Stegostoma tigrinum: one gene and its partners. The protein of the gene in region 1 purifies or fractionates together with the protein of each later gene. This does not show direct contact. Links are inferred from orthologs where the notes say so. Each region holds a gene or a part of one and is shown in the gene's direction. Other genes may lie near its edges.

Region 1 (7,125 bases):
TCCCTACCTCCCCACCTATACTCTCTCCACCTATCTTCTTTACTCTCCATCTTCAGTCCGCCTCCCCGTCTCTCCCTATTTATTCCAGTTCCCTCTCCCCATCCCCCTCTCTGATGAAGGGTCTAGGCCCGAAATGTCAGCTTTTGTGCTCCTGAGATGCTGCTGGGCCTGCTGTGTTCATCCAGCCTCACATTTTATTATCTTGGAATTCTCCAGCATCTGCAGTTCCCATTATCACTGATACTATTTATATACCCATCCAGGTGCCTTTTAAATGTTGTAATTGTACTCAAATTTATCTGACACTTCCTCTGGCAGCTCATTCCATACATGCACCACCCTCTGTGTGAAAAAGTTGCCCTTTAGGTCCCTTTTAAATGTTTCACCTCTCAACTTAAACCTATGCCCCTCTAGCTTTTGACCGCCCTTTGCCTATTTACCCTATCCATAGGCAGAAATGGAGCCCAGAGAGAGAGGAGAAGTTAGGCAAAGACATGGATAATGGGAAGCCAGGGAAGGAGAGAAGCTGAAATGGGGACTGTAAGTAGGTGAAGATGGGTCAGAGGTGCTGAAAGCAGCCCGGCATGATAGGGCTGGGGGAGTGGGGTGTGCGGGGTCTGGGGGCTGCAGGTGGGGATGGGACGGTGTGTGTGTGTGTGGAATGCATAAAGGACACGGAATGAGGTGTTCAGGTTCCAAATTGTTAAACGTGGTGTTGAGACCCCAAGCAGAAAATGAGGTGTTGTTCTTCCAGCTTGTACTGAGCTTCCCTGGAGCGCTGCAGCAAGCCTGAGACAGAGGTGTTGGCCAGGGAACAGGGTGGCATGTTGAAATGGCAGGCAACTGGAAGCTCAAGGTCATTTTTATAGACAGACGTATAGCAGTCAACCAGTCTGCATTTTGCCTCCGCAGTGGAGAGGAGACCACATTGTGAGCAGCACTGTTATTGGGCAGGTGTTACACCTTCTGTAGTTGCATGGGAAGGTGCTGTGGGGGTGTGAGGAGGTGCTGGGGGTGGAGGAAAAGTGGACCAGAGTGTCCCGGAAAGAACAGTCCCAGTGCAGGCTGACACAGAAGGAATGTGGAACGAGTCTGGTGATGGCATCCTGCTGGAGGTGACGGAAATGGTTTCCAATGATCCTCTGAATGTGGATGCTGGAGAGGAAGAAAGTCGCGATGAGGGGAACCCTGTTGCTGTTGGGGGATGGAAGACAGGGGGTGAGGACTGAAATGCGGGAGATGGGTCGGACCCGGCTGGGGGCCCTGTCAATTACTGTGCTGGGGAAATCCTTGTTTGGAGAAGAAGATGGACAGTATGAGGCTCATGCCACCAGCAAGCCACCACCACTGGTAGCCCATGCCCCCCGATCCCCCACACACAGAAGGCAGCATCATCAGAACAGATACAACAGAATGGAGGAACTTGGAGAACGGAATGGCGTCCTTACAGGAAGCAGAGTGTGAGGATGTATAGTCGAAGTTACTCTGGGAGTTGGTGGGTTTGCAGTGGATTTCTCAAAAATGTAAACAGAGATGTGGAGGAAAGGAACGGACGAGTCAAAGATGGACCAGGTAAAGAGGGAAGCAGCACCGATGATGTCTTTGAAGTGCCAGAGAAAGGGTTTTGAGGAGGGATCCGAATGGGATTGGAACAAGGAACGTTCCATGCACCCCACAAAGAGACAGACATTGCTGGGGTCCACGCATGAGCCCACGGCCGTGGTAGAAAGTGAGAAGAGTTACTGGTGAAATTGTTTGAAATGAGGATCAGCTCAGCCGGGTAGAGGACGGTGGTGGTGGGCAGGGATGGTTCAGGCCTATTTTCCAGGAAGAAGAGGAGAGCCCTGAGACCATCTTGATGCGGGATGGACGTGTAAAGGGATTTCACATCCATGTCGAAGAGGAGGCAGTTGGTGTCGTCAAAGTCAAAATTTTGAAACTGTTGTAAACTGTCAGAATCATAGAAACTCTACATTGTGGAAGCAGGCCATTCAGCCCATTCAGTTGCACCAACCCTCTGAAGAACATCCCCCCCAGACACCCCGCCCCCACCACCCTGTATTTCCCATGACTGACCCAGCTAGCCCGCATGTCCCTGGGCACTACAGAACAATTCAGCACGGCCAATCCACCCTAACCTGCACATCCCTGGGCACAATGCTACGATTTCCCACGGCCAATCCACCCTAACCTGCACATCCCTGGGCACAATGCTACGATTTCCCACGGCCAATCCACCCTAACCTGCACATCCCTGGGCACAATGCTACGATTTCCCACGGCCAATCCACTCTAACCTATGGATGTGGGAGGAAACCCAAAGGAAACCCAAGCAGATACGGGAAGAATGCTGAAACTCTACACAGACAGTTGCCCAAGGGTGGAATTGATCCCGGGTCCCTAGTGCCGTGGTACAGCAGTGCTGAACACTGAGTCGCCGTGCCACCCTTAGAGTTGCAGATATATATGGGAAGGATCTGGACAAAAGTAGAGAAGTCAAGGTAAGAAGTAAATTCTATGGGGCAGGAACAAGCAGAAACAAAGTGTGGAGCTGGACGAATACAGCAGGCCAGGCAGCATCTCCGGAGCACAAAAGCTGACGTTTCGGGCCTAGACCCTACATCAGAAACATTGTGTCTGCTGGGCAGCCCATTTATGGATCTTGGGAAGATGGTAGAAGAAGGGTGTCTGGGGATGGGGGACTGTGAACTTGGAGGCTGTGGGGAATGAGGGTATATGGGGTGGGTGGAGGGGGGAAGACATGCCTAGAATAAGATGAACTTACTGACTGCCATGGACATAATATCCTGATGTTCGATGGTGGGGTCATGGTCCAGGAGAGATAAGAGGAGGAACCTTGAGAGCTGCTGCTCAACCTTCCCAATGTCAAAGTCAATATGCCAGTGAACAGCAGCACCACCCTTGTTGGCAGGCTTGATTTCAAAGTGAGAGTTGGATCTAAGAGCACAGAGTGCAAACAGTTCAGAGGGACACTGGTTTGAATGGACAAGGGGGCAGAGAAATTATCATGGTGACATTGACAATCTTCAGTGAACAGATTGATTGTAAGTAAGGGGACAGAAGTAGGGGACTAGGTATGGAGGGGTGTGTTGGAGACAGATGAAGGTGTCTATGGGACAGAGAAAGGACTCCTGTCCAAAGAATTGGGCAATGGACACAACAGAAGAGGGGTTCAACATCTTTGTTGTGCCCAGTGTGAAGGCAGGAGAATGGGATTTAAAACTATACAATCCCTCCAGTGTGGAAGCAGGCCAATGCCCACACCAACCCTACGAAGAGCAAGTAACCCAAATCTACCCCCAACCTATCCCTGTAACCCCACCTTTACTATGGCTAATCCATCTAGCCTGCAGATCGCCGGACACTATGGGCGATTTAGCATGGCCAATCCACCAAACGTGCACATCCTGTGGACTGTGGAATGAAACTGGAGCACCCGGAGGAATCTCAGGCAGACCCAAATTCCACACACAGACTGTCGCCTGGGGGTGGAATTGAACCCCAGTCCCTGGCACTGTGAGGCAGCAGTGTTAACTGCTGAGTCGCCATGCCACATTATATCAGCAACGATGAGACCTGATGGGCCAAACTACCCTAGTTCCACTCCTATGTCTTAAAGTCTTATCTCTTGATCCCTTGAGGTGGGGCTCTCTGAACTGCTCATGTAGAGGACTAGGTCATGCTAGATGGGCCAAACGGCCTCCTGTTGTGCTTTTAATCTTTGTGTGACAACCCCACAAACACCAGGACTTGGCTATTTGGGTTCAGTGTGGCCAGTTTCTACACTTCAGATATCCTTGGTAAGAAAGATAGGTAAAGAATAGCATAAATTAAACAGTAATGGACAACACCCTATTTGAAAGGGAAGAGAAACCACATTAAAGAAAGTCACGCATGCGCGCTGCCGGAACGGATTCCGAGGCTACCTGCAGTAGCGCTGGAATGGGAGCCGGTCCTGCGCGTGCGCAGAATCCGCGCCAGTCCGGAGGCATTGCGCATGCTCAGACTGCCGGCGTGTCCGGGAGCGGAGCCGGCGCCAGGCATGCGCAGCGATGGGGCGAATGACGTGTCGTTGTGACAGGTTGGCAGGAAGTGAAGGCATTGACACCGGAAGTGGGAGCCAGAGGGCTGAGACTGTTTGAGAGTAGGGGTGATCCAGAGGGAAAGTGTGGAAGCAGCCGGCTGTCTTCGAGCGCCTGTAAAGTTAGTAGGTTAAAAACCGAAAGGCTGGGAAGATGTTGAAAAAGTTTGACAAAAAGGATGAGGAGTCTGGTAAGTGCCAGTCATGAAGGACGGGATGAGGGGCCTGTGTTGGTTACTATGGCAGCACCGGCCTAAGGGAGCAAGTGATGAGCAAGTTCCTGATGTAGTCAGCTCAGGTGCTCCATGGTAAAGCCTTTCTGAATCTGCTCAATGTGGGCTCGAAACTAACTTCTGTAAATGTGTTTAAAATTCATTCAGTTGCCTGGAGCTATCTGAACCCAGTGATGACATACTTTGCCAGGGCAGGGCTGGGATTTGGCTGGCATCATGGAATGGTTCTGGCACTGTAGGTGACGATTTGGCTTGTGATGCCTCTCTGAATGAGCAATTCACCCTGTGCCATTCCCTTGCCTTCTCCTCGTAATTCTTCACATTCTTCGTTTTCAAAAAGTAATATTGTTCCCTATTGAGTGGCTAGATTGAATAAAAATAAAGTTGCTGGAAAAGCTCAGCAGGCCTGGCATCATCTGTTTCGGGTTTGATGACCCTTCCTCAGGCTTGATTGAATCTGCTTACATGCAGGTGCAAGCACACACTTGTATACACAGACACACAAACACTTGCATGCACAACACATTCTAGATCCTAACCAGTCATTGCATAATGGTGTTTTGCCCTCACGTTCCCAATTGCTTTAAATCTGTGCCCTCTTGTTCTCAATCCTTTCACCTTTGGGACCACTTTCTTCCTATCTACTTGTACAGATGCCTTGCCATTTTGAGCTCATCAGTCAAATCTCTTTTCAGCCCGTCCAAAAAACAACTGTGAATGACAGTGATGGATTCCTGTCTAGCTACAATCAATTTTTCATATTTTTCTGCATTTGATGACTTACTAATGGGTTGGTTTGGCTGTATACTAATTAATACAAGTTAGCATCAATCTTTTTGGTGTCAGTTTTTTTTGGTAGCTAGTATTAGCTTTAATGGTATGTCAAATCTGTCAGTATTTGTGAAGTGTCTCTACAGGTTTGACAACATTTGTAGGAGTTCCCTGTGAGCATTTTAATGGTTAGACATTTCAAAGGCAGGGCTAAAAAAGATCGCTGGAGCCACTAGGCTTGTTGCAAAGTCCAAATAATCAATAGGGTGCTCAATCTGATTTACTCTGCCAACTACCTATCCAGTTCCTTCCTGAATATTCAGACTGTCTTGTCCTTGTTGGCTTGTCTAGTCATATTGTTGTAATTTTCTTGGTTTCATAATAAAACTCATCCATAAAGTACTGGAAGTGTACAGGAAATCTGTTAGAACAAAAGAAAAAATACATAATAAAGAAGCAGTGGAAAAGTGGAAATGTCACTGGACTAGAAATCCAAAACCCCAGCCTAAAGTAGGCACATGCGTTCGAATGCTGTCATGGTAGATGGTAGAATTAATACAAATCTGCAATTTTTAAAAAAAGCTAGTCTAATGGCAACCACCAGTTCACTCTTTTCCTTTATGGAAGTAAATCTGCCATTCTTATAGTTTGGTTTACATGTGACCCCAGACCAACAGCAATGTGATGTTTACTGATCTCTGGTCAATTAGCAATTAATAATAAATATTTCTTACCCACTGAAGCCTACATCTCATGAAAGAATAAAGAAAAAGTCATGAACTTAATTTTCTGTCAAGTGATAATAGTCGAGCTCATAACTTGACTCATTTATGTTTGCTGGAATTGACATGCATTCATACACAGGATCTTGATCTTTGTAAGCGAAAGGAATATGCTCAAACCTTGCCCCTCACCAGTTTGAGGCTATTGTTTCCAATTACATTTTAGGTAGCAATGCCTCAGCCAATCAGACCTGCTGACCAATCAACTCCCTTTTCATGTGTACCGCAAATCCTCATTAAGCTGCAGGGGTTAATGGGCATCCTGTGGATAACAAAATAAGTGGGTACTGCTTCGATGTAACTCCTTTATCTGCCACGAAGGAATGCACACCCAGACCAGATGAGTTGTTGGGAGGAAAGATGCCGAGGAGTGAATGCAGTAGAAAAGTTGTGATTATTTAAAATTTTGCAATTTTGCAGCTGTCCTGATGAGTGCGAGAGTAAAACTTCAGTTCTCTTTTCAGCCATGTTTCTGTTTTATATTTTTTACCTTACCGAAATTTTATCTAACATTACTTAACGATATATTTGTTGTTCTTATTCTAGTAAGTCAGTTATGACTGTTGTGATTGGTTAGTGTTTACTGTAGAGTTGATTTTTCAAAGAGTGATGGGCCAGTAGAGGAGGGACTGATTGGATGCAACAAATTTTTGAGTGCTGCTATTATATGTTGTTATGAAATTGGGTAGAGTAATTGTGAAGTGGCAGGCAGGAAGCTAAAATGTGTGGTTCCTTTAAGAGATTTGTGTTTTGTCTGTATTTGGATGCACACTTTTTTAAAATTTCTGTGAGCACCAGCTGGAGTTTCCAGAACACAGAGCCTCAAAAATTGAAACTAATGTATGAAAAAGAAAGCCTTGCTGGTGGCAGACAAAGTAGCAGTCTTGTTTTAAAGTTGTGACAAGTTTGAAATCGATCTATTTACTTAAACGAAGCACCGAGATACAGAAAGCCAATCGAATTTAAATCTGATGGTGTTGACAGCCTAAAACCAATCATAATATAAGAATTTCATTCTGTCATTATGGGTAGAAAGACGAGGGCATTTAGAAAATTGGAGCGAGCCAACTGCCATCTGAAATACAGCCACCCGCTAGAGTTAGCACCATTCATCGCTCAGAGAAAGCCCAACTAATTAACCAAATGTACCACGGTATTTTAGCTCAAAATCATCATTGAAGAAATTAGAGATACAAGATCCCTGACAGCAGAATTAATGGAAGAAAGGCATTTGTGA
Region 2 (7,535 bases), on another chromosome or scaffold:
ACTTAACGATAAGCAAGTGGTCCATTTAACATCTCATCCATAGGATACATTTCTAACAATGCTGCATCCCGTCATTTTGAAGGGTTAGCATACAATAAGTGGGTTGGAATCATGGCCTCTCCAACTCAGTGATCTTCTCCAGTCCTACAACACTAAGATATTGGCACTGCTCAACTTCCGGCCACTTGAGTGCTTGATTTGAGTGGCGGTCGCTTCACCAGCCTGGCTCCTAAGTTCAGAAAAGCTCTGATGAAACCTTTTCTGCTTCATGAACCCTTTTAATTCTTTAAGATTAATTCTTTAAAAATCAATAATGCCATATTAAGGAAAATGAACAAAGGCTTGGTCATTGAAGTAAACTTTAAGTATGGTCTTTTAGACTCATAGAGTCATACAGCATGGAAACAGACCCTTCGGCCCAACTAGTTGAATGGAGTTTATTTTGGATAAATGCAAAATTTTGCATTTTGGTAAAACAAACAGACAATACATGTACTATTAAGAGGGCATTGGGCAGTGTTGAAGAACAGAGAGACCTATGGGTTCATGTACACAATTCTTTGATATTTGCATCACATATAGATGGGGTGGTTAAGAAAGTGTTTAGCATGCTTGCCTTCATTGCTCAGATCTTTGAGTATAGGAGTTTTTACCTTAGTGTTGAGGTTGTGCAGGATATTGGTGAGGCCACTTCTGAAGTACTGTGTCCAATTCCATCGGTAACTCCTCAGCCTATTGACCCAATTCACCAAGATCCCTTCGTAATCTTAGATAATCTTCACTGTCAACTGTACTGTCAATGTTGGTGTCATCTGCAAACTAACCAGCCATGCCTCCCAAATTCTCATCCAAATTGTTTATATAAATGACATTCAAAAGTAGACCCAGCACCTATCCATGTGGACCACCACTGGTCACAGGCCTCCAGTCCAAGAAACAATTCTCTACTACCCTCTATGTCTCCTACCATCAAGACAATTTTGTATCTAGCTGGTAAGCTCTCCCTGAATCCCATGTGATCTAACTTTATTAATTAGTCTACCGTGGAAACCTTGTCAAAGGCTTTATCAAAGTCCATGCAGACAATGTCTATCAGTCTGCCATCATCAATCTCTTTGGTTATGTCCTCAAAAACCTCAATAAAGTTTGTGAGACATGATTTCCCTCACACAAAGCCATGCTGACTATCCTTAATCAGTCCTTGCCTCTCCAAATGCATGTAACTCCTATCTCTCAGAATCCCGTCCAAGAAATTACCCACCACTGATATCAGACTCACAAGTCTATAGCTCCCAGGCTTCTCTCTATTGGCACTCCTCCAGTCCTTCGACAGCTCACCTGTGGCTGTAGATAACCCAAATATCTCCACCAGGGGCCCTGCAACTTCTTCCCTAACTTGCCACAACATCCTGGGATGCACTTGATCAGGTCCTGGAGATTTAACTACCTTTCTCTTTTTTCAAGACTTCCAGCACTTCCTCTTCTGCAATGTGGACTGTTTTCAAGACATCAATATTTACTCCCTCAAGTTCTCTAGCCTCCATTTTCTTCTCCACAGTAAAATCTGATGTAAAATATTTGTTTGGTATCTGTCCCAAATCTTCTGGTTCCATGCAAAGACAAAAACATTAACCTTTAAGGGGCCTTTTTTGCTCCCTTGTTGCTTTTTTACTGTTAGTGCACTTGTAGAATCTCTTTGGATTATCCTAAACTTTATCTGCCAAAACTAATGCTTGCCCCTTCTGGTGCCTCCTGATTTCCCTTATAATTTTCAAGAGATTCACTTTATCCCAATTGTCTATATCTAATACTTGACTCCTTCTTAATCTTGACTGGAGCCTCAATATCTTTATTCATCTATTGTTCCCTACTCTTACCGACCTTACCCTTCACTCTAACAGGAAACTAATGTCTCTGATCTCTCATTATCTTACTTTTAAAAGCTTCCCACTTGCCAATCATCCCTTAACTTCAATCTACTTCAACCAATTTTTGAAAGTTCCTGTCTAATATGATCAAAATTTGCCATACTCCAATTGAAAGTCTTAAAAAAACAGAGTGGGTCAGAATCCTTAGAATCCCTATAGGGTGGAAACAGGCCCTTCAGCCCAACAAGTCCACACCGAACCTCAGTGCATTCTACCCAGACCCATTCCCGTTTTAACCCACGTAACCTACATATGCTGAACACTACGGGCAATTTAGCATGGCCAATCCACCTGCACATCTTTGGACTGTGGGAAGAAACCAGAACACCCGGAGGAAACCCATGCAGACACGGGGAGCATGTGCAAACTCCACACAGACAGACACCGAAGGCCAGAATCGAACCTGGATCCCTGCTGCTGTGAGGCAGCAGTGCTAACCACTGTGCCACCATGCCACCCTTGAGGCAAAGAGGTGTTGGGAGGGAATACCAGGGTATTGGCACTTCAAACATAGAACAGTAAAGCACTGTACAGGCTCTTCGGCCCACAATGTTGTGTCAACCTATTATCCTACTCTAAGATCAAACTACTTTGCATACCCTACATTTTACTATCATCCATGTGCCTATCCAAGAGTCACTTAAATGTCCCTAATGGATCTGAGTCCATTACTACTGCTGGCAGTGCATTCCACACACCCATCACTCAAGGCGTAAAGAATCTACCTCTGCCATTTCCCCTATATCTTCATCCAATCACCTGAAAATTAAGCCCCCTCATAATAGTCATTTCTGCCCTTGGAAAGAGTCTCTGGGTATCCACTCTATCTATGCCTGTCATCATCTTGTACACCTCTATCAAGTCACCTCTCATCCTTCTCTCCAATGAGAAAAGCCCTAGCTCCGTCATAAGACCTGCCCTCCAGTCCAGGCAGCATCCTGGTAAATCTCCTTTGTACCCCCTCTAAAGCTTCCACATCTTTCCTATCATGAGGCGATCAGAACTGAACACAATATTCCAAGTGTGGTCTAACCAGGGTTTTGTAGAGTTGCAGCATAACCTCGTGGCACTTAAACTCAATTCTCCTGCCAATGAGAGCCAACACACCATAGGCCTTCTTAACAACCCTATTGACTTGGGTGGCAATTTTCATGGGATCTTTGGATGTGGACCCCAAGATCGCTCTGTTCCTCCACACTGCCAAGAATCCTGCCATTAACCCTGTATTCTGCATTCAAATTCAACCTTCCAAAATGAATCACTTCACAATTTTCCAGGTTGAATTCCATCTGCCACTTCTTTGCCCAGCTCTGTGTCCTGTCAATGTTCCATTGCAACCTACAACAGCCCTCTACACTATCCGCCAACCTTTGCATCATCGGCAAATTTACTAACCCACCCTTCTGCTTCCTCATTTATAAAATCACAAACTGTCGGGGCCCCAGAACGGATCCCTGCGGAAGACCAATGTTCACCGAGTTCAAGGCTGAATACTTTCCATCTATGGCCACCTTCTGTCTTCTATTGAACAGCCAATTTTGTATCCAACTTGAAGGCATGAACATTGATGGTGCAACGATCAAAACTGGGGATACTCAAGAAGCTAGAATTAAATGAGTACAGACAACTTAGAATGTTTTACAGCTGGAAGAGGGTACAGAGAAGAGCGCAGAGGCAGGAGCACCATCGGCAGCTTAAGGCCTCAGAAGGATTTGAAGACAATGCTATAAATATTAAATTGAGATATTGCTTGACCAGGAATCAGTGAAATTTCCTGGCCACTTTGGTAAGTAAGTAAGCACAAGAGTTAGAGGGGAGTAGAACTTATTGCAAGTTGAGACAAACAACAGGATTTTCTGTTCGCGGCAACATTAGGGAGGGTGGAAAACAGGAGGCCAGCCCAGAGTGCATTGGATCATTGATTTGAAAGTCAACAAAGGCATTAATGATGATTATTATTCATTTAATAGTTTATAGGTAATACTTTGGAAAATAACTCAATGCATTACGTTAATATTCCAGATGTTTATATTCTTTCTAATATTGTTTAATATTTAATATAAAATGCATAAGGGAATCTTTTACATCACTGGGTAGTTCTGGAAGCATGGCAATTTTACCTTTTCATTAAAAGTCTGATTTTACTTTAAAAATTCAACTTATTTAATGATCGTAGTTTTATATGAAATAATTATTTATTTTTCATTAATTTAGTATGTATATTCTAGCTTTATATATTATTCAATTATTATTCAGAAGTTTTTATTGAATATTATAATTCCATACAGCCTAATTAAAACGCATTTTAAGCAATAACAAATTACATTGTTATTAGAAGTAATGATCTGTATTAAATTAGATTTTCCAAGGTATCATAACGGCTTGGAGATAGTAGGAACTTGCAGATGCTGGAGAATCTGAGATAACAAGGTGTAGAGCTGGATGAACACAGCTTTCCAGCTCCTGTCATGCTGCTGGGCCTGCTGTGTTCATCCAGCTCTACACCTTGTTACCATCATAACTTGCCCCAGTTCTAGACACAGTTTGGCAGAGACACGGGATCCGAGCAGGCGCAGTGAGGAGGATGAGGACTTCCGGCGCCACGTGTGCCGCGCCTGCGCGTTGGGCACGAAGATGGCGGCCATGCAGCAGGGGGATGGGGACCAGCTGTTCGATGTCCGCAACAGCTTCTACATCGGCAGCTACCAGCAGTGTATTAACGAGGCGCAGAAAGTCAAGGTGAGGAGGTGGGAGTTGGGCGGCTTGGCACCCTGGGTCTTCTCTGCTGTTATTTACTTTCAAAGTTGGCCTTTTCTCATCGGAGTCCGGGGGCGGCTCTGGAACGGTCGCAGCGCCCAGGGAGCTGGGCACCCGTCCGAGAGTCAGGGCCGAGGGAGTGCAGCATTTGAAAGGCTATTAGATTATTACCTCAGAAGAAGTAATATGCAGGGCTATTGTGAGAAAGCAGAAAATGGAAACTAGGCATATTTTTAATTTGGAGAGCCAGCGCAGCTAAGACAAGGTGAATGTCCTTTCTTTGATCAGTAACTGCTGTCAATTGGAGCAGTCGCATTTATGAGTATAAGAGCAGGATAGTGGATGTATATCCTGCAAGGCATGGTTCATTTCCTGACTTCTCTAAATTTCTCCACTCTCTAAAAGATTCGGGCCGGGTATGTAATAGAGATAGTAGGAACTACAGATGCCTGAGAATCTGAGATAACAAGGTGTAGAGCTGGGTGAACACAGCAGGCCAAGCAGCATCAGAGGAGCAAGAAAGCTGATGTTTCGGGTCGAGACCCTTCCTCAGAAAATGAAGAAGGATCTCCACTCGAAACGTCAGCTTTCCTGCTCCTCTGATGCGGCTTGGCCAGCTGTGTTCATCCAGCTCTATATCATGTTATTTTGGATATGTAACAGGATTCTTTCCTCTCATTTACATGGTGTTGTCTCTGAATACCCTGAAAGCTTGGCATCAACAAGAGCAGCCAACTTTATTTCACTGCACTCAATGGGATTTGATATCTATTTAGGCTTGCATAAATTAGAATAAAGGTAAAACAAGTGATTGAAAAAGCAAACGCAAGTCAAAAAGTCACCTGGTTATAGTCCAACAGATTCGTTTGAATTCACAAGCTTGCGAAGCGCTGTCCCATTTTTAGTTGAAGTGACAGCTACCCTGACAAGGCAGCTCTCCCTCAGCACTTCACCTGACAAAGGGGCAGCTTTGAATGCTTGTCATTTCAAATAAACCTGTTGGACTATAACTTGGCATTGTGTGACTTTTGACCTTTTCTGCCTGGTCCAACGCTAGCATCTTCGCATTATGCTTATTGCAAGTGAAATGGAATATAAATGTAGGGATATTTTACTGCAGTTGTACAGGGCATCGGGAAGACCACATCTGGAGTGCCGTATGTACTGTTTTAGTTATCTTATTTAGCATTTAGAAGGAGTTCTTGGACTGGAAAGGTTGGACGGTCCGACCCAGTATCCATTGGAATTTAAAAGGATAAAGAGATGATCCTGCGTGGACTTGACAGAGTGCGTAGTAGTGATAGTTTCCTTTTATGAAACTAAAACAGTTTAAGAGCTGTCCATGTAAGACAATTGTTAAAAATTCTGAGGGTCATGTGCAACATTCCCTCTAAGTTTGTTTTGGCTTGTGGAAGCCACTGCTGCAGTCTGACTTCTGAGACCTATACAGTGCAAAAAAAGAGTGAGGGAACGTTGGTCATGAGCCTTTGGCATTCTCTTCCCCAGAGAGCAGTGGTGGGAGAGTCGTTGACTATTTTTAATAGAGTGAGAGAGATTCTTAAACTTTGACTCCCCTGTTAATTATCAGGCATAGGCAGGAGTATGAAGTTGAAGCCACACTCAGATCAGCCTTGATCTTAGTGAATGGTGGAATAGGCATGAGGGTAAAATGGCAGACTCCTAACTCATATTCTTACATTTTTGCACCACTGGTTTAGTGTTCGTAATATGCACTACATAACTGATCAAGCCTCCTTTCACAGTAACTTCCAGCTTTCCTCCTTCAGGTATCAACTACACAGCTTCAGCATCACTGCCAATTTCCTTTCGATCTGGCATCATCCTGACTTGGAATTATATGTAGTGTCCTGAAATTTCCCGGGTAATTTCATAATTGATGCAACAATAAGCAATGTGAAAATTCTATCCTCTTTGGGAACTTGTTGATGGGCCATAAAATTGTAGCTTTTTCCATCTTCTCTTTAACCTAATGGATTATTTTCTTCTGTCCTTCCCTCTCCCCCCCCCCACAAAAAAACCCTTATTAGCTTCTTCTTCAAATACTGATCCGTTTCCATTGTTTCCCATCAGTCTTTTTGATGGTCTATTCCATGTTTTAGCAACTAAGGCAAATGCATACATTTTTATAACTCTTCCTTCATTCTTGTGATACTAATCTTTAATTTACAACCAGTTCATATAGATGCCTTCTGAACCAAATCACAGAGCAGTACTTTGCTTGACTTATCAAAAATCCATATTTCATTTCTGTGAAATAGGGCAAAGCATTTACAAGATGGTTTCAGAAACACTGAGTTCAGAGTCACCAGAGGTAATCTACCATGATTTAGATCTTGGTTTCTGCAGTATTAGTGGCGCTTTAGCATGCTTGAGCCAAGAAAAATGAGGTGAATATTAGCCAGGTTTATGTTATAAATATTTGAGGTGTACTGTTATTGCATTTGATTTTAATTAACCTCAGTGAAATTGTTTTGTAATCATTCCTTCCTACCAGTTGTTTCTTATTTAAATAGTCATTGTTGTAGTTTAGCTGTTAAAGACAAGATTTTAAGAGGTAGGAGCATAAGTAGGGCATTCAGTCCATCCAGCTTTCTCCAGTATTTGAGATTATATTCTGATACTCGTCAACCTCATCTTCCTGTCTTCTCTCCCTAGACCTCAGTTCCCTTCCTGATTAGAAATCTGTCTCAGCCTTGAAACACTTCACAAGCCAGCCTTAACAGCTGTCTGGTAAGAAAGTTCACAGATTCCCTGTTGTCTGAAAGAAGAAATTCCTTTTCATTTTTGTCTCAAATGGGTGACTCCTTACTCTGAGATCTCACCTTCTCG
Region 3 (6,831 bases), on another chromosome or scaffold:
CCTTCATAAAATCCATATACACCACATCCACTGCTCTGCCCTCATCAGTATGTTTTGACAGCTATATTTCTGCAAATGCTTGTAAAGCAAAATTATCAGCTGACTGCTTTGTGCATTTGGACTTTTCACAACTGAGTTAACATTCTTGTGACGGCAGATATGAATTCACATGCCAATATGAGGAGCAACAAGTGTGTGAAATAAAGGATTTCTGCGATAGTATAAAAACAGTGATTTTCAGACAAATAGAATTACAAACACATTCTGATATGTACACTAAAATTCTTTGTATGAATTAACAGAGAACAGTAGGGTGGCTCAGTGGGTAGCACTGCTAACTTACTGGGATCCAGGGTTTGATTTCAGTCCTGGGTAATTATCTATGTAGAATTTGAGTGGAACTCACTCTCCAGATTACTTATTACCAAAATCACTGCGCTATTGTGCTCACAGTCAAATCTGGAGACCTAATGAAAACATCAGCTACAACAGCTCAAATACACTGGTAATATTTCCACAGAGAATAGCACATGGGCAAAACAACTTAAGGTTTTTCTCCCTCATCTCTTGCCCCAAAGAAAGTGGCGGGGGGGGGGGGGGGGGGTAGAGTGGTTAGCACTGCTGCCTCACAATGCAGGGCGACTATCTGTGTGGAGTTTACACATTCTCCCTGCATCTGTGCAAATTTCTGCAGGGGGTGATCTGGTTTTCTCCCACAGTCCAACAATGTGCAGGTTAAGTGGACTGGCCATGCTAAATTGCCCCATAGTGTCTTGAGGTATTCAGGTAGGCCATGGTGAATGAAGGATTACGGGGATGGTGTGGGGGTCAGGGGCTAGGTGGGATGCTCTTTTGAGGATATGTACAGGACTTGACGGGGTGAAAGGCCTCTTTCTACACTCTAGGGATTCTATGACTCGAGATAGGTACTTAGGAAAGGAAATAAACAAGTTGAGCTAATAGCAGCACATATCCTCATTTTGGGAAAAATACCCATTTCCAATCTGTTTCTTAGTTTTGAAACTAATTGTTGGCTTCTTGTTAGCCTTTAGGCTTTTTTTCATTTCTACTTCATGCTAAGCCTATTACATCATGTTGTTTTTGGATTACAGTTACAAGCAGAAGGAAAAAAACTCAGAAAGAGGTGGTGGCTGTTCATTACTGAAATTTTGATATGAAATAAAGAAAAATAATACAAAAGCTTTTATCACCACCTGTTCCCTGACATCAGCCCCTTCTGTGCTGCTTCCTGGATAAGGTGATGCACAAACTGTATCTCCGACACTAGACTGAGTTTCAAACACCACATCACACCAAATGTAAAATTTCTAATGGTCTATTCCTATCACACCCCTATTGCCACTGAAGTCTTAATCACATTTGTTATTCGCAGAATGGACATCCCTCAATGCACCTTCACAGATGTTGTCAGTCCTGCTGAGTTTGTCTAGCATTTTCTGTCTTTCTTTCAGGTTTCCAGCAACCGCAGTATTTTTTACGTAATAAAAATGACACTGATAATACCTGTGTACGTTCCATGATTACCTGTTTCTAATCTTCCCTTTACATACCTGGCACACTCGGAAGATAAGCATGTCACAAAAAAGAGCTTCACTCACACCAATAAATATTCCAGCTCCAAGGTTTTAAAATCTGCATTTTCTATTTGCCAAATACATCTGTAGTAGGTGACTACCCCCTAGAGGCTGCAAAAGACATCACAATAAATTGCAAGATAACAAGTGTGGGGCTGGATGAACACAGCTGGCCAAGCAGCATCTCAGGAGCACAAAAGCTGATGTTTTGGGCCTAGGCCCATCATCAGAACTGATACAATAAATTGCATTTAACTTCGATTTGAGATGGAAGATCTGAAACACGCTCACTTGTAAGATATACCTGACTGAAACTGCTTCATATTTATCAAAAGCCTGGAACAGATTGTACTCTGGCCTTTCAGTATACATTCTCTACAGATCATACAAGAAACAACCCAGTAATTATCACTGCTACTGCATTATGACCAATCTCAAAATCAACCTTGTCTATTCAATCGTTCTGAAAATTGAACTGCAATGATTTCTCAGTGGTAACCCACATTAACTGTAGGGCTCTTCAATATGCATCCCATGTTGTTGCCTTACGTCCTAATACCAGTAATTACATGACTCTGTTAAAGTTGACTAATTATACCCAGCTAGGACATTTGTCACCCATGGAGATCTATGGAAAAAAAACAGCATTTGTTAGCAAATCAAAGACCGCAAAAAAACAATGATATGATGGCTGATTTTGTAGAGCACCAAGACCTGCGCTCATGATGAGAGACACCAAAAGTCAGGGAAGGAAAAGTGCCTCCAAGAATTTAGACGGAAAGAGGTTGCAGCACAGTTCAAAATGAAGCAAAGTCATCTACAGACCCCACACCACATCTTCTACAATTTTCAGAACTTCTGGCCTCCCTACCATCATCCTACACTTCTACTCTTCCCCTTCCCTCCCTTCGTCCTCTCTCTCTCTCTCTCTCTGCTCCTCTCCTCTATCTTCCCCAAACACATCCCTCCTGGTCCCATTCTCCTGTTCACTCCATCCTCACTTCTCATCCATGTTCACATAAACCGTTCCACATCCCTTTGGTCCTTCATCACCCTGTCTCCCTCCAAATCTCTTGTCCTGACCAAAACCTCTACCCCTCTCCTCCATCCAAACTCCCTCCCTCCTTCAGTCTAAAACCCCATCCCTGCTCTTTCAAACAACATCGTCAATCCAAAATCCCTTTCACCTCCAAACTTCCCCTTTAAGATCACCTTCATCTAAATCCTGCCCCTCTATTCCCAAATGCTCTCTCCTCCCTCCAAACACCCCTCCTCCCAATCCCTTGAAACACCCTGCAATCCATTCCTTCTCTTCTTCCAACAACCCCTGCCTCACTCTCCCTCCAAAGCCTGCAACCATCCCCTCTCTTCCCCTTCATCTCCCTCCAAACCCCCTTCATCCTTTCCTGGAAAGCTCCCCGACCTATGGGGTAACTTTTTCCACACAGAGTGGTGTATATGTGGAATGAGGTAGTGGAGAATTACAACACTTAAACGCCATCTAGATGGGTGTAGGAATAAGAAAGGTTTAAGAGTGATAGAGGTCAAATGGGACTAGATTAATTGAGAATATCCAATGGGCATGGACAAGTTGGACTGAAGGTTGTATTTCTGCGCTGAACCCCACCATCGTTATAACTCTCTCTCAACCCCATTCCAAATTACTTCCTCTCTGTGTCCGGAATCGCCCCGTCTTACCTGTCTGATTTCCCCCCAACAACTTGTATCTCACAATCTCACTTCTCTCTCTCTCTCATACAACAGGGCACGGCCCAGTGCGGATCAAAGGAGAACGTCCGCCCTCATACCGCTCCCCGCCAACCTGCAATTCCACAAAACGGTTCCGGACTGTAAGGAGCCTGGGGCTAACTAGTGAATAACAGAGAAACAACAACAACAGCAACGAAAAGAGAATGAGAGAGAGTGTGTGGGGAGGGGTTGTGGGACTCAGTAGCAACTTAAACCCTGCCGAAATGTGATTTAAAAGCGAGGAAACAGAATGTGCAACGCAATATCCTTTACCCCATGTCCTCCGAACAGGGAACTAAACTGCAGAAAATCATGATATGAAACCAGAATTCAATTTGTGTGCAAATACACAATCTATTTGCCAGCGAACATTAAATAATGGCGACGCATCGAGGGTTAAAGATCTTAGTTTACGGGTCTAGTGACAGAACTACAACTCCCGGCCTGCCCTAGGAGTGACCGGAAGTGTTTGTCGGGCGGTGTGATGGCGGCGGCTAACTGTTCGCTGACGGTCTCCCGTCACCTCCTCGACCCTAAGTTTGATAGTTACAAACTCTCCCTGGAAACACTGCCCATTTACACCGTGGACCTGGATGGCGGTGAGTTACCGGGGTAGCAACTCCTTTCCCCAGCGCCAACTCATCCCGCTTCACCCCATGAGGCAGAGAAAGCTGCGTTTCTTTAGCGCCTTTCACATCCCTAAAATCGGTTCTTTTGTCCGCCTTCATTTATCGCCGCATTTTATTTTAACACTTTACTTATCACCAGGATTGTTGTAGTTCATTCACCATGCTAATAAACACGGTAGTCAATCTGTACACGTTGCTGTTGATGGGAGTGACTTGATGATCCAGCTGGTTTCCACTTTTTGCCTGAGGTTTAGGCATCGCTCCCCAGGCACAGGCACCTTCCTACTTCAGCGTCTTTTTCAAAATAAAAGTGGCTGCGGGGTCCTTTAACGTCCTGAAAGGACACTGAGTAGCTTGGTTTACTGTCTTGTTCGCATGGTATCTCTGACCATGCTGCACTTTCTCATTACTGCATTGGATCCGCGTTTCTGCGATTTTTGTTTAGTCTTCGAGTCCCTTGATTAGGATTTGTATCGACAACCTTCTAACTCCAAAATTGAGAGTGAGACCAACTGTACCAGGACTGATACCAGCTCAGTTCAGCTTTCTACAGACTGGACTCCACCGCAAGAAAATTTGTATCATTTGTTGTGACTTCTGACACTTCTAGAATTAAAATCCTTGATGCTTCCTTATTAATGTTTTGGTATATAGTGCTGCCTCATTGCAACAACGAGCTTTTATTGAAATATTATAAGGCTGGGATTGTTTGGCTCAAATGGCAGCAGCACTCCTAACTTGAGCCAGAGTGTTGTGGCCAGCAAGTAATCTGTGGTGAACCTCAGCTGGGCTGCTGAATGACTAGAGCTTATATATTAAATTAGTGATAACAAAGTGTACAGCTGGATGAACTCAGCAGGCCAAACAGCATCTTAGGAACACAAACTGCTTGGCCTGCTGTGTTCATCCAGCTCCACACTTTGTTGTCTCAGATTCTCCAGCATCTGCAGTTCCCATTATCTCTGATACAATACTAAATTAGTGATCTGCCTACTTAGTTAAGTAAGCTTAAGATATTGTGGGGCAATATTTTGTTAATTATGGAGTTCTCTCAATGTTCACCCGAAAAAACAATGCCTTTGTCAATGGCAGAAAAACCACTCATAGACCATTCTAATATTGTTGGAGGGTCTTTTTATACCTAAATTGATAGTAGTGTTTCCTTTCTTGTGAAGGACTATACTTCAAAATGACTTGACTGACTCATCCTTTAGCATATGATAAGCTTCTATGTAAATGCAGGTAGATACACTGTTATGTGAACTGACTGTTTTGACTAACATTTATTTTATTTTGATTGGTAATCTCTGGGAATGTATTGATCTCAAATCAGTCTTGGTTCACTAGCTGATTCAGCCATTGAGTTTTACAAAATTCAAGGAGGCCATTTAGTTTGTCATGTTGATACCTACTCTTTCTGGTGCAGAAATCCTCAACTAATCCTGCCCATCTCTCTGCTGTACCCTGTGTCTTTCTGTGTAGCATCTGTTCTTTGTCACACCTGGTTATGGCAAAACATTTCAACCTCTGACAGATGCTACCAAAAAAGAAGTTAAGATCAAAAGAATTGAGTAAGAATTGAATGCTATTTGGCACTCTCCACCAACCATGTTTTGTCATTCAATGAGATACTGATTGATTTGATTGGAGCTTAACTTCATTTTCTTGCCTGCCCTAATCACCCTTAACTCCTTTGTTGAATAAAGATGAAACCCTGAAATGTAGTTCAGACCGCCTTTGTCTCATGCTCGTGCTGTCTCTCTTGCTCACCACTCTCTGGGGGAAGACAGTTCTAAAAACTTGTACCCCTCTGAGAGAACTTCCTCATCTCTGTCTTAAGTGAGAGACTCCTTATTTTGAAATTGTCTTGTAGTTCTAGACTCCCTATCCTCCCAGCAACCCTATGAACCCTATGAACATCCCTCAGAATCTTCAATGTTTCAATAAGATCATCTTTAAATCTTCTAATCAATAATGTATGTAGGCCCCATCTGCTCATCCTTTCCTCATAAAACAAATCTCTCACTCCAGAAATTTGCCAAATGTGTCATTTCGAAACTGTACCAGATACAGTTTTATCCCTGCCTAAGTAAGGACGCTAAAACTGCATACGATACTTTCAAAATTTCTTATCACTCGCCCATTCTGACTGTTTTGAATTGACTCCTTCTCTCTGATTTGCAAAACAGAGCGAACAGCCTTTCCTTACTAGTTTCTTAAAATTCCACTTGGGCTTCTCCGTTGTACTAGTTTCAGTATCTCCACTTTTCTTACAAAATGGAAGCTTCTAGTTAATACCAGCAGTTAGAATCAAAGGACAGCTATTCCAATTGTAAAATATTAATTTCAATGGCTGCATTAATCTTTTGGAAGCGCAAAACCAGTGCTGGCAGATCTGGTAGCGTCCTTTTCTTCTGCGCAACCCTCATTGGCGTCACATCTATTCTCTCCCTCTTCCCTGACCACTTCTTCCTGTCTGTATCACTGTGCTGAATTAATCTGATGGTTAGGTTGCAGTTAGAACATTGTGCACACTTTCAGACAACTTTCTTTGAATAGGATTGAAGATTGTGCTAAAGATACAGAAGGGATTCAGTGAGGAGATGTTATTAAAGGTGAGAAGCTTAGTTATTTGGAGATCATTGAAGATGTGCAGCTCTGTTCATTCAATTCTGAGCTGTACAAAATTAAGGGGCTTTGTTGAGATTGATCGCTCACATTTCAGGACATTGTCATCGTGCTGCTTTTTTCTGGAATAAAAAATTGAAGGATCTTGCAGATGTTTTTGGGAAACTAAGGACAGAAATTGGAAGAAAGATTGAAGAATAAAAAGAACCTGGATGTAAAAATAGAGTTGT
Region 4 (7,162 bases), on another chromosome or scaffold:
CCCACAATTTAAAGTTTTCCTCATGATCACATAATCTAATCCCTCTTCAACAGGCATTATTATCCCAGTTCGCCAGTTTAGATTAGTTCGTTATTTCCTCTGCAGTTTTTTTCCACATAGTTATTAAAGTTTTTCAGTTTGCCCCTGATTTGCATTTCAAAATTGCTTCTTTCACTTTGGTGCATTTATCTACCACCTCGTTCCCTCTATTTGCCCAATTTCATTCCCTAATTTATTATTAAGGCATGCTGACAGACGTCTGAATTGCTCCTCATCCTCAGAATTTTCTCGGCACGTTTGATGCGGAGGAGCTCCAGTGCCGGATATATCCAAAGTGTACTCATCCTACACTTATCTCTTACCCTGGGTTTATTCACCCTCCCAGTGCTCTAACATCCACCCCAACGGACTATCGGGCGGAATCCCGGGGCCTCGTCCTCTTGGCCCCCTACTCTGTTCCCGGGGGCTCTTACCTTTTAGCCCCCATCCCTGTCCCACTTCGGACAGATTCCCCGATCGCCCGGATAGTAGTTAATAGTCAATTTTCTTACCCGGGTCTTGTGCACAAGAATTGCTCGATCGACTCACATTCCAAGGGCCCTTAACCTAAACCCACTTGTTTTCAGAGTCTCCTATCCGGATACGACTCGCTCAAGCCGCCCAACGGCAAGCAAGGACGTCTGGGACCTCTGAACTCAGCGGGGCACGCCTTCTCTTCTTCCGAACCCACCAGCGGACGACTCGGAGTGTGGATCCCGGATGAGCCCCCAAGCTTGTGAGATATAAATTCACGTGCTCACAATCACAAAGTCAGGAGGCAAAGTCTTGGAAACAAGTTACTTGCGCTTTATTACGAGTCTGCAGAATCGGGTGCCTCCCATTGCCTGAGACGCACACAGGTCAGGGAGTCACCCCTTCCCTTTCGGCTCTGTCCAATCTGAGCTCCAAGATGCACAATCTTCCCATGTCATCCCTTGTCCCACACTCTTCATACATTGCATGTTATGTTAATTAAGCAGTCTCGTAAGCATGGGCGTGAAAGTTAATATGCATTGTCTCATTAAGCATGCGCTTTAACTATGTCTATGGTGCAAAGCAGAACTTAGCAGTTTGGGTCCAGTTCATTCTGGTTTCTAACTGTTTTGTCTTCACTCCCTTATCTTATCACTCAGCTCAGTACCAGATGTCTTTGTTCAAAGCTGCAGTAATTCTTTACTGCAGTGTACTCATCCCTGTCTCTCATACTGTTCTTGCCACCAAAGTGTATAACCGCACATTTATCCACATTAAACTGCATCTGCCATGCATCCGTCCACTCAGTTAGACTGTCCAAATCACCCTGTATTGTCATAACATCCTCCTCACATTTCACACTGCCACCCAGCTTTGTGTCATCAGCAAATTTGTTAATATTACTTTTAATGCCTTTGTCTATATCATTAATGTACATTGTAAACAGCTGCGGTCCCAGCACCGAACGTTGTGGTACCCCACTGGTCACCGCCTGCCATTCCGAAAGGGACCTGTTTATCACTACTCTTTGCTTATTTGATATTTACCCCTAGAAACTTGAAGTGCTTGATCATCTTTACCTCTGCACCATTGTGACCAACAGGGCATATCCTCCAAGATAATAAAATGTGAGGCTGGATGAACACAGCAGGCCAAGCAGCATCTCACGAGCACAAAAGCTGACGTTTCGGGCCTCTAGCGTCACCGTAGACCAAGGGCTCGGGTGATACTGATGTTATATGAGGCAGGTTGTTATTGTCATTAACGGAGACAGATGTTATGTGCAACTTTGATGTTCTTATGTCTCGGTGAAGGGACTTAATTCACCGTTTGCGGTTTTTCCTCACTTGTCACTGAAGAGTTGCAGAAGTTCGAGTGTCAGTGACAAAGTGAGTCTCGAGGTCTTTTGGGCGAAAGTGTCGTATCTCTCGATGCCGAGGAATGTCATGAGGCGGTTATTCATTTCCGACCACTTGCCTCGTGCGCCCATCACAAAGCCAAAATAGCTGGGCACCTCGCCTCCTGTCAGTTTCGTGATCTCGGCATTCAGGTGTTTATATTTTTCCACTTTTTCTCGCCATGCTGTTTCCAGTGCTTTATTGTCATTTTCGTACCGCACTGTGACATCTACGATCGCGATCTTCTTGTCTTTCTTAAATATGAGATCGGGTTTCCATAGTGAGCCGTGTGTATCGAATAGTCTGGGCTCCACGTATGATGTCCAGCCGTACTTACTGACGTGTTTCTGCAACTGGTCAGCGATCTTATTATGGCGTTTGATTCGAGCTTTCTTAACGAATGGGCAGTATCCTGAGATGTGTGGTAGGGTCTCATTTGCCATCTCACATCTACGGCATAGTTTGTTTCTGTACGGCCTACCTCTAGATATTGTGGTTCTTGTTGGGTATAGGTTACACCGCAAGAGCTGCGGATTATCGCGGATGGTATTTGCACTTCGAGTTTTGGGACGCCGAGACCATCGTTCCTGTAGCTCGAATATAGTATTCTGTCTGCGGTATGAGGTGGTAGGTGTAGGAATTCTTTCGTGGCGTTACGGATGATTTGGTCCAGCTTTACAAGAGTAGTTTGTGATGCTTCTGTTAGGATCATATGGAAGTACAATCTGGGGATGACATGCACCTTTAGGATTTCCAACCGTTGCCGTGGTCGGAGAGGCGCTGCCTGTATTCCCTGAACCCAGGACTTAAGCTTCTCCTCCCACTGCCCTTCTGCCACACCTGCCCATGGATCGATGCGGGCACCCAGGTATTTCTCGGTGTCGCCTGGGGGTATGTAGGCTATGGATTCATCCCGTAGCTTCCAGTTTTTGTGCTCGTGAGATGCTGCTTGGCCTGCTGTGTTCATCCAGCCTCACATTTTATTATCTTGGAATCTCCAGCATCTGCAGTTCCCATTATCTCTGAGGGCATATCCTCCATTTCACTTTCTGAAATTGATGGCCAGTTCCTTCGTTTTGCTGACATTGAGGAAGAGATTGATGACTTTATAGCATGCCACTGAGCTCTCTATCTCTCTTCTGTACTCTATCTCATTGTTGTTGTCATCAGCGAATTTGTAAATGGAGTTACAGCTGAATTTGGCTACACTGTTGTGACAATATAAGGACTATAATAAGGGTCTGCGTGCACAACTTTTCAGGGTGTTGAGGATTATCATGGAGGAGGTACTGTCACCTATCCTTACGATTGTGGTCTGCTGCTCAGGAAGTTGAGGATCCAGTGCAGAATGGGGAGGAGTATCCTAGCTCTCGGAGGATTGGGAAATGAGTTTGGTTGGAATTATGGTGTTGAAGGTAGAGCTAAAGTCACTAAATGGAAATTTGACATACGTGTCCTCGTTATTCAGACGTTCCAGGGATGAGTATTGGACGAAAGCGCTGGTGTCTGCTGTGGACATATTGCGAGGATGGACGAACTGTAGCTGATCAAGGCAACCTGGGAGACTGGAGATTATGTATGCCATTAGTAACGTTGACTGGTTCCCAGGGAGGAAAGAAGATACAGACGTTGTTCTTGAGGTATGCGAGTGCTTGAGGTATTTGAGCAAATGGAGCAACTGTTCCCAATTGTGAAAGGACGAAGGACACAAAATTAAATAATTGGCAAAATAAGCAACCGCAATACGAGGAAATAACTTTTTTTTTATCCGTGCAGCCGGCACTCGAGGTCTAGAATACACTGCTGGAGACTGGTTCAATCGATGTCTTCGAAAGGGAATTGGACTGATATGGTAGCACAGTGTGGAGCTGGAGGAACACAGCAAGCCAGGCAACATCAGAGCAGCAGGAAAGCTGATGTTTCGGGTTCGAGACCCTTCAGAAAAGGGGCTAATTCTGACTCCAACAACTGCAGTTTTTACCATCTCTGGACTATGAAGTGAAAAGTTTTTAAAAATGTATGGAAAAGGAAGAAAAGCATGAAAAGAAAAAGACAGGCAAAAAAAATGTGCACCTTTGGAGTAGGGAGAAGGAAGCTATGAAGTGAGTCGCTCTGATAGTGTAGAGATGATGCATGCTCTCGTGCAGCAGTTCCCTGATTACACTTGTGCTCTGGACGGGAAAGTCTGCCTGCGATTGCGGATTGTGACGTGGCTCCTCGGAGCGCGCTTGCGTGTCTATTGGCACCGCTCGGCCGCCGTCGATCATTGAGGTTGCAGTTCCACGTCAGCTGGAGGACAACGGGAGGAAGAGATCGGCTTCCTCCTCCTCTACCTCCACACAATCATCATCATCCTCCTCCTCCCCCCTCCCCGCTTCTTCAGCCGCCGTTGATACAGCGACCCGGCCTTCTCTTCTCATCTCTGGAGACCAGGTGCAGTAAGACCGTCGCCTGGCAGCGGAGGTTGCCAGTTCCTGGCCGCGGCCTAAGGCCGGGTTTTGTTGTTGTCTCGGCCCCACTCATGCTTCCCGGAGCAGATTTACATCACAATAGGGAGCGGTCCTGCTCCCTCCTCAGATGGACTGGACTGACTCTTCGGCTTTAGATTGAAGCAAAATCAAATGAGGTTTTGAATAATCCTTGAGAAGCCGATGTTTTTACAAAAGTGAAGGGTCCCCGTGTAAGCATGTAGCTTAATATTTCCGCAGCATAATGTTCTCTGTTCACTTCCTTTGGGCTTCACTTTAACATTTGAATTATGCCTTTTTGCAAATCTAATGACTTTGCAATCAGGTAAAACTTGCCTGGTCCTGGAAAGTGCCAAGTAGTCAAAATGGCCAGGTCAGCTTTTAAACTGTCGGGATGCCCAGCACTGAGCGAGAGGAAACTGCTGCTACATAAACATTAACAGCGAAAAATCGAAAGGTCGAATTTCTGCGAGTTGTTTTGTGAAGTTTGCTAGCAAGTTGTGCATAAGATAATCGCTTACCAGAAGCGTCGGTCAACCAATTTTTCTTTCATTTAGAAAAGCTTTAAGCTTCAGTTTCAGCGTGCATTTTAAAATGGAATCATAATTTTCTCCAGTATATTTGGGATTCCATTCCATTCCTTATCAATAAGACCTCCTTTCTGGTTTAAATCTGTATTTGTCTTCTTGCCTAACTTTGCACTTTATTTCTTAATGTAATTTGCCATTTATCATTTCCGAATTTGTTACCTTTTCGATCTCCTTGGAGGTTTTCTTTCAAACCTGAAATCTTGATGGTACTTCATAATTCTGACTTAATTAATTCTATGAATTAACATCACTGTTCTTTCATTGAATATTCCTTTTGTGATTTGGTGGTGAGAGCTAGATACAGTAATCATAAGTTTTGAGCTGATCAGACAGCTGTCAGCTAGATCATGACTTACTCTGATTTGTGCCTACAGCAGTTCATCATTTTATTGGTTTTGTGGTTTGAATTTTGTGTTTAGTTGTACATCTTGTGACAAGTTTGTGGAAACACTTTGGTCTCCTTCAGCTTTCCTGCTATTTGCAAACAACATATATCTGATTTTCCTTCATGCATATTGAACATCATCTGCCATAGCTTTGTTCATCTGGACATTTTATGTCCCTTGTCTCACTTTCTGAGTTTCTTCCTTGCCCATCATAATTTAGCATTTGCAAATTTGAGCAAGTTGCATTGAAGTTTTGAACTTAAATATTGTATCAATCAACAATGAAGTCCCTTATTTACATTGGCTTCAAACTATATGATATACTTAAATGTTCTGTAAAACGCAAGTGTAGTTTAAATGTAGGATAAAGCTCCAATGACAGAATATTACCTGAAAATAACTACATTTCATGACTAAGTAATACAATGTGCCTGAGAGCCTGATAACTACACTGCACATCTCAGTTACTTCGAGTGTGAAATATCCTCTTAAAATTAGATAAAAGATCAAAGTGCAAACGTAAATTTTTTTTTCTCTAATTGTTACCTGCTGTATGAAAAAATGGTTTGTCAACCTCTTATTATATGATATTGATATTTTTGGTGAATACATGGCCTTCAGGAAGGGAGATGTGACCTGCTTCTGAATTCCGTGTAGTCCTTTCAGTTCCTGCTATTGATAAACAAATGGCAGAGTTCTAAAAAGCCATGATGTAAACTACAGTGTTATGATATGTCCCAGTGATGGCTCATAGCTAAATGCTATTGCCGTTTGTGACACAGTGCATCATCTCCAATCTCCCTATTCCTTTCCGAAACCTTTGGATGTCTGTCACCACCCAAATTGCTGCCCATCTTTCCTACAATTTCATGTTTGAAGCTCACTAATTAACCTTCTGCTCCTGCTGTAAGTCAGCTGTTATTAAAGTTACAACTGGCAACTTATATGACTGTGACCATGATAAGTAATCATTCCATAGTTTTTTTAATCTGCCTTCAACCTTTGACAACGTTGGCCATGCTATCCTCCTTCAGCATATCTGCTGCATCGTCCAGCTGATTGAAACTAACCAGGGGCAATTCCATTCTGATCGACACAGTCATAGCCAAATAATTACCTGCAATGAGGTATTTTTATTTGGTCCTGTGTTACCTCTGAATTCAGCAAGGATGTATCCCTAACTATTACCTATTTCTCCCCTACCTCTTTGACATAATGCAAAATCACAATCTCAGGTACCATATGTATGCTAGTGCCATCCAGTTCAACTTCACTTCTACTTTATGTGCATTGTTTCTGATTTATCTCACTGCTTTTCTGACTCCCAGTGCTGAAAGGACAAATTTTCTCCAACTAAGTGTCATCTTAGTTAATTCACAGAAACTTTTCTTCAAAATAGCAAGGGAAAAGAATTATCCCTGATGACCTGTCAAATATTTCTCTCGTAGTTACTGTTATAGAATAGATTATTTGGTTGCATTGGTGTTCGTGGAATTTTCTTATGTGCAACTCTGCTGCTGTTTGCCTACATTACCACATTAGCTGCACTTCAAATGTGCATCATTGCTGTAAACTGTGTTTTGGAGTTTCTTGACATAAAAAGGACTTCATGAAAACAAACGCTGCTCTTTTGTTTTCGCTGACTACACCCATTTCCATGAAAACTTAGAGACCAAACCAGATTGTGCATGTCCTTGGTGTCATGTTTGACTCTGAATTTTCAACCCTAACTCAGTTCTTTGCCAAGGCAATCTGCTTCCACCAATGTAACATTGTCAACCTACATCATTCCCTCAGCTTATGTGTTT

What was found.
Region 2: the proteins of coatomer subunit gamma-1 (region 1) and cope fractionate together in Homo sapiens (co-fractionation; 6 studies listed by BioGRID and IntAct, counting the BioPlex papers as one, with this or other methods). This does not show direct contact. The link is inferred for Stegostoma tigrinum from reciprocal best matches to the Homo sapiens genes COPG1 and COPE.
Region 3: the proteins of coatomer subunit gamma-1 (region 1) and nudcd1 purify together in Homo sapiens (affinity purification with mass spectrometry; 3 studies listed by BioGRID and IntAct, counting the BioPlex papers as one, with this or other methods). This does not show direct contact. The link is inferred for Stegostoma tigrinum from reciprocal best matches to the Homo sapiens genes COPG1 and NUDCD1.
Region 4: the proteins of coatomer subunit gamma-1 (region 1) and copb1 fractionate together in Homo sapiens (co-fractionation; 11 studies listed by BioGRID and IntAct, counting the BioPlex papers as one, with this or other methods). This does not show direct contact. The link is inferred for Stegostoma tigrinum from reciprocal best matches to the Homo sapiens genes COPG1 and COPB1.

What each region holds. Positions count from the first base shown.
Region 1 is NC_081364.1:7,961,497-7,968,621, reverse strand, and holds the start of coatomer subunit gamma-1, read left to right. Parts: upstream 1-4,113; 5' UTR 4,114-4,256; coding exon 4,257-4,293; intron 4,294-7,125. UniProt on the Homo sapiens protein: The coatomer is a cytosolic protein complex that binds to dilysine motifs and reversibly associates with Golgi non-clathrin-coated vesicles, which further mediate biosynthetic protein transport from the ER, via the Golgi up to the trans Golgi network.
Region 2 is NC_081383.1:7,210,328-7,217,862, reverse strand, and holds the start of cope (coatomer subunit epsilon), read left to right. Parts: upstream 1-4,534; 5' UTR 4,535-4,562; coding exon 4,563-4,667; intron 4,668-7,535. UniProt on the Homo sapiens protein: The coatomer is a cytosolic protein complex that binds to dilysine motifs and reversibly associates with Golgi non-clathrin-coated vesicles, which further mediate biosynthetic protein transport from the ER, via the Golgi up to the trans Golgi network.
Region 3 is NC_081358.1:1,208,503-1,215,333, reverse strand, and holds the start of nudcd1 (nudC domain-containing protein 1), read left to right. Parts: upstream 1-3,809; 5' UTR 3,810-3,828; coding exon 3,829-3,943; intron 3,944-6,831.
Region 4 is NC_081370.1:30,699,647-30,706,808, reverse strand, and holds the start of copb1 (coatomer subunit beta), read left to right. Parts: upstream 1-4,147; 5' UTR 4,148-4,343; intron 4,344-7,162. UniProt on the Homo sapiens protein: The coatomer is a cytosolic protein complex that binds to dilysine motifs and reversibly associates with Golgi non-clathrin-coated vesicles, which further mediate biosynthetic protein transport from the ER, via the Golgi up to the trans Golgi network.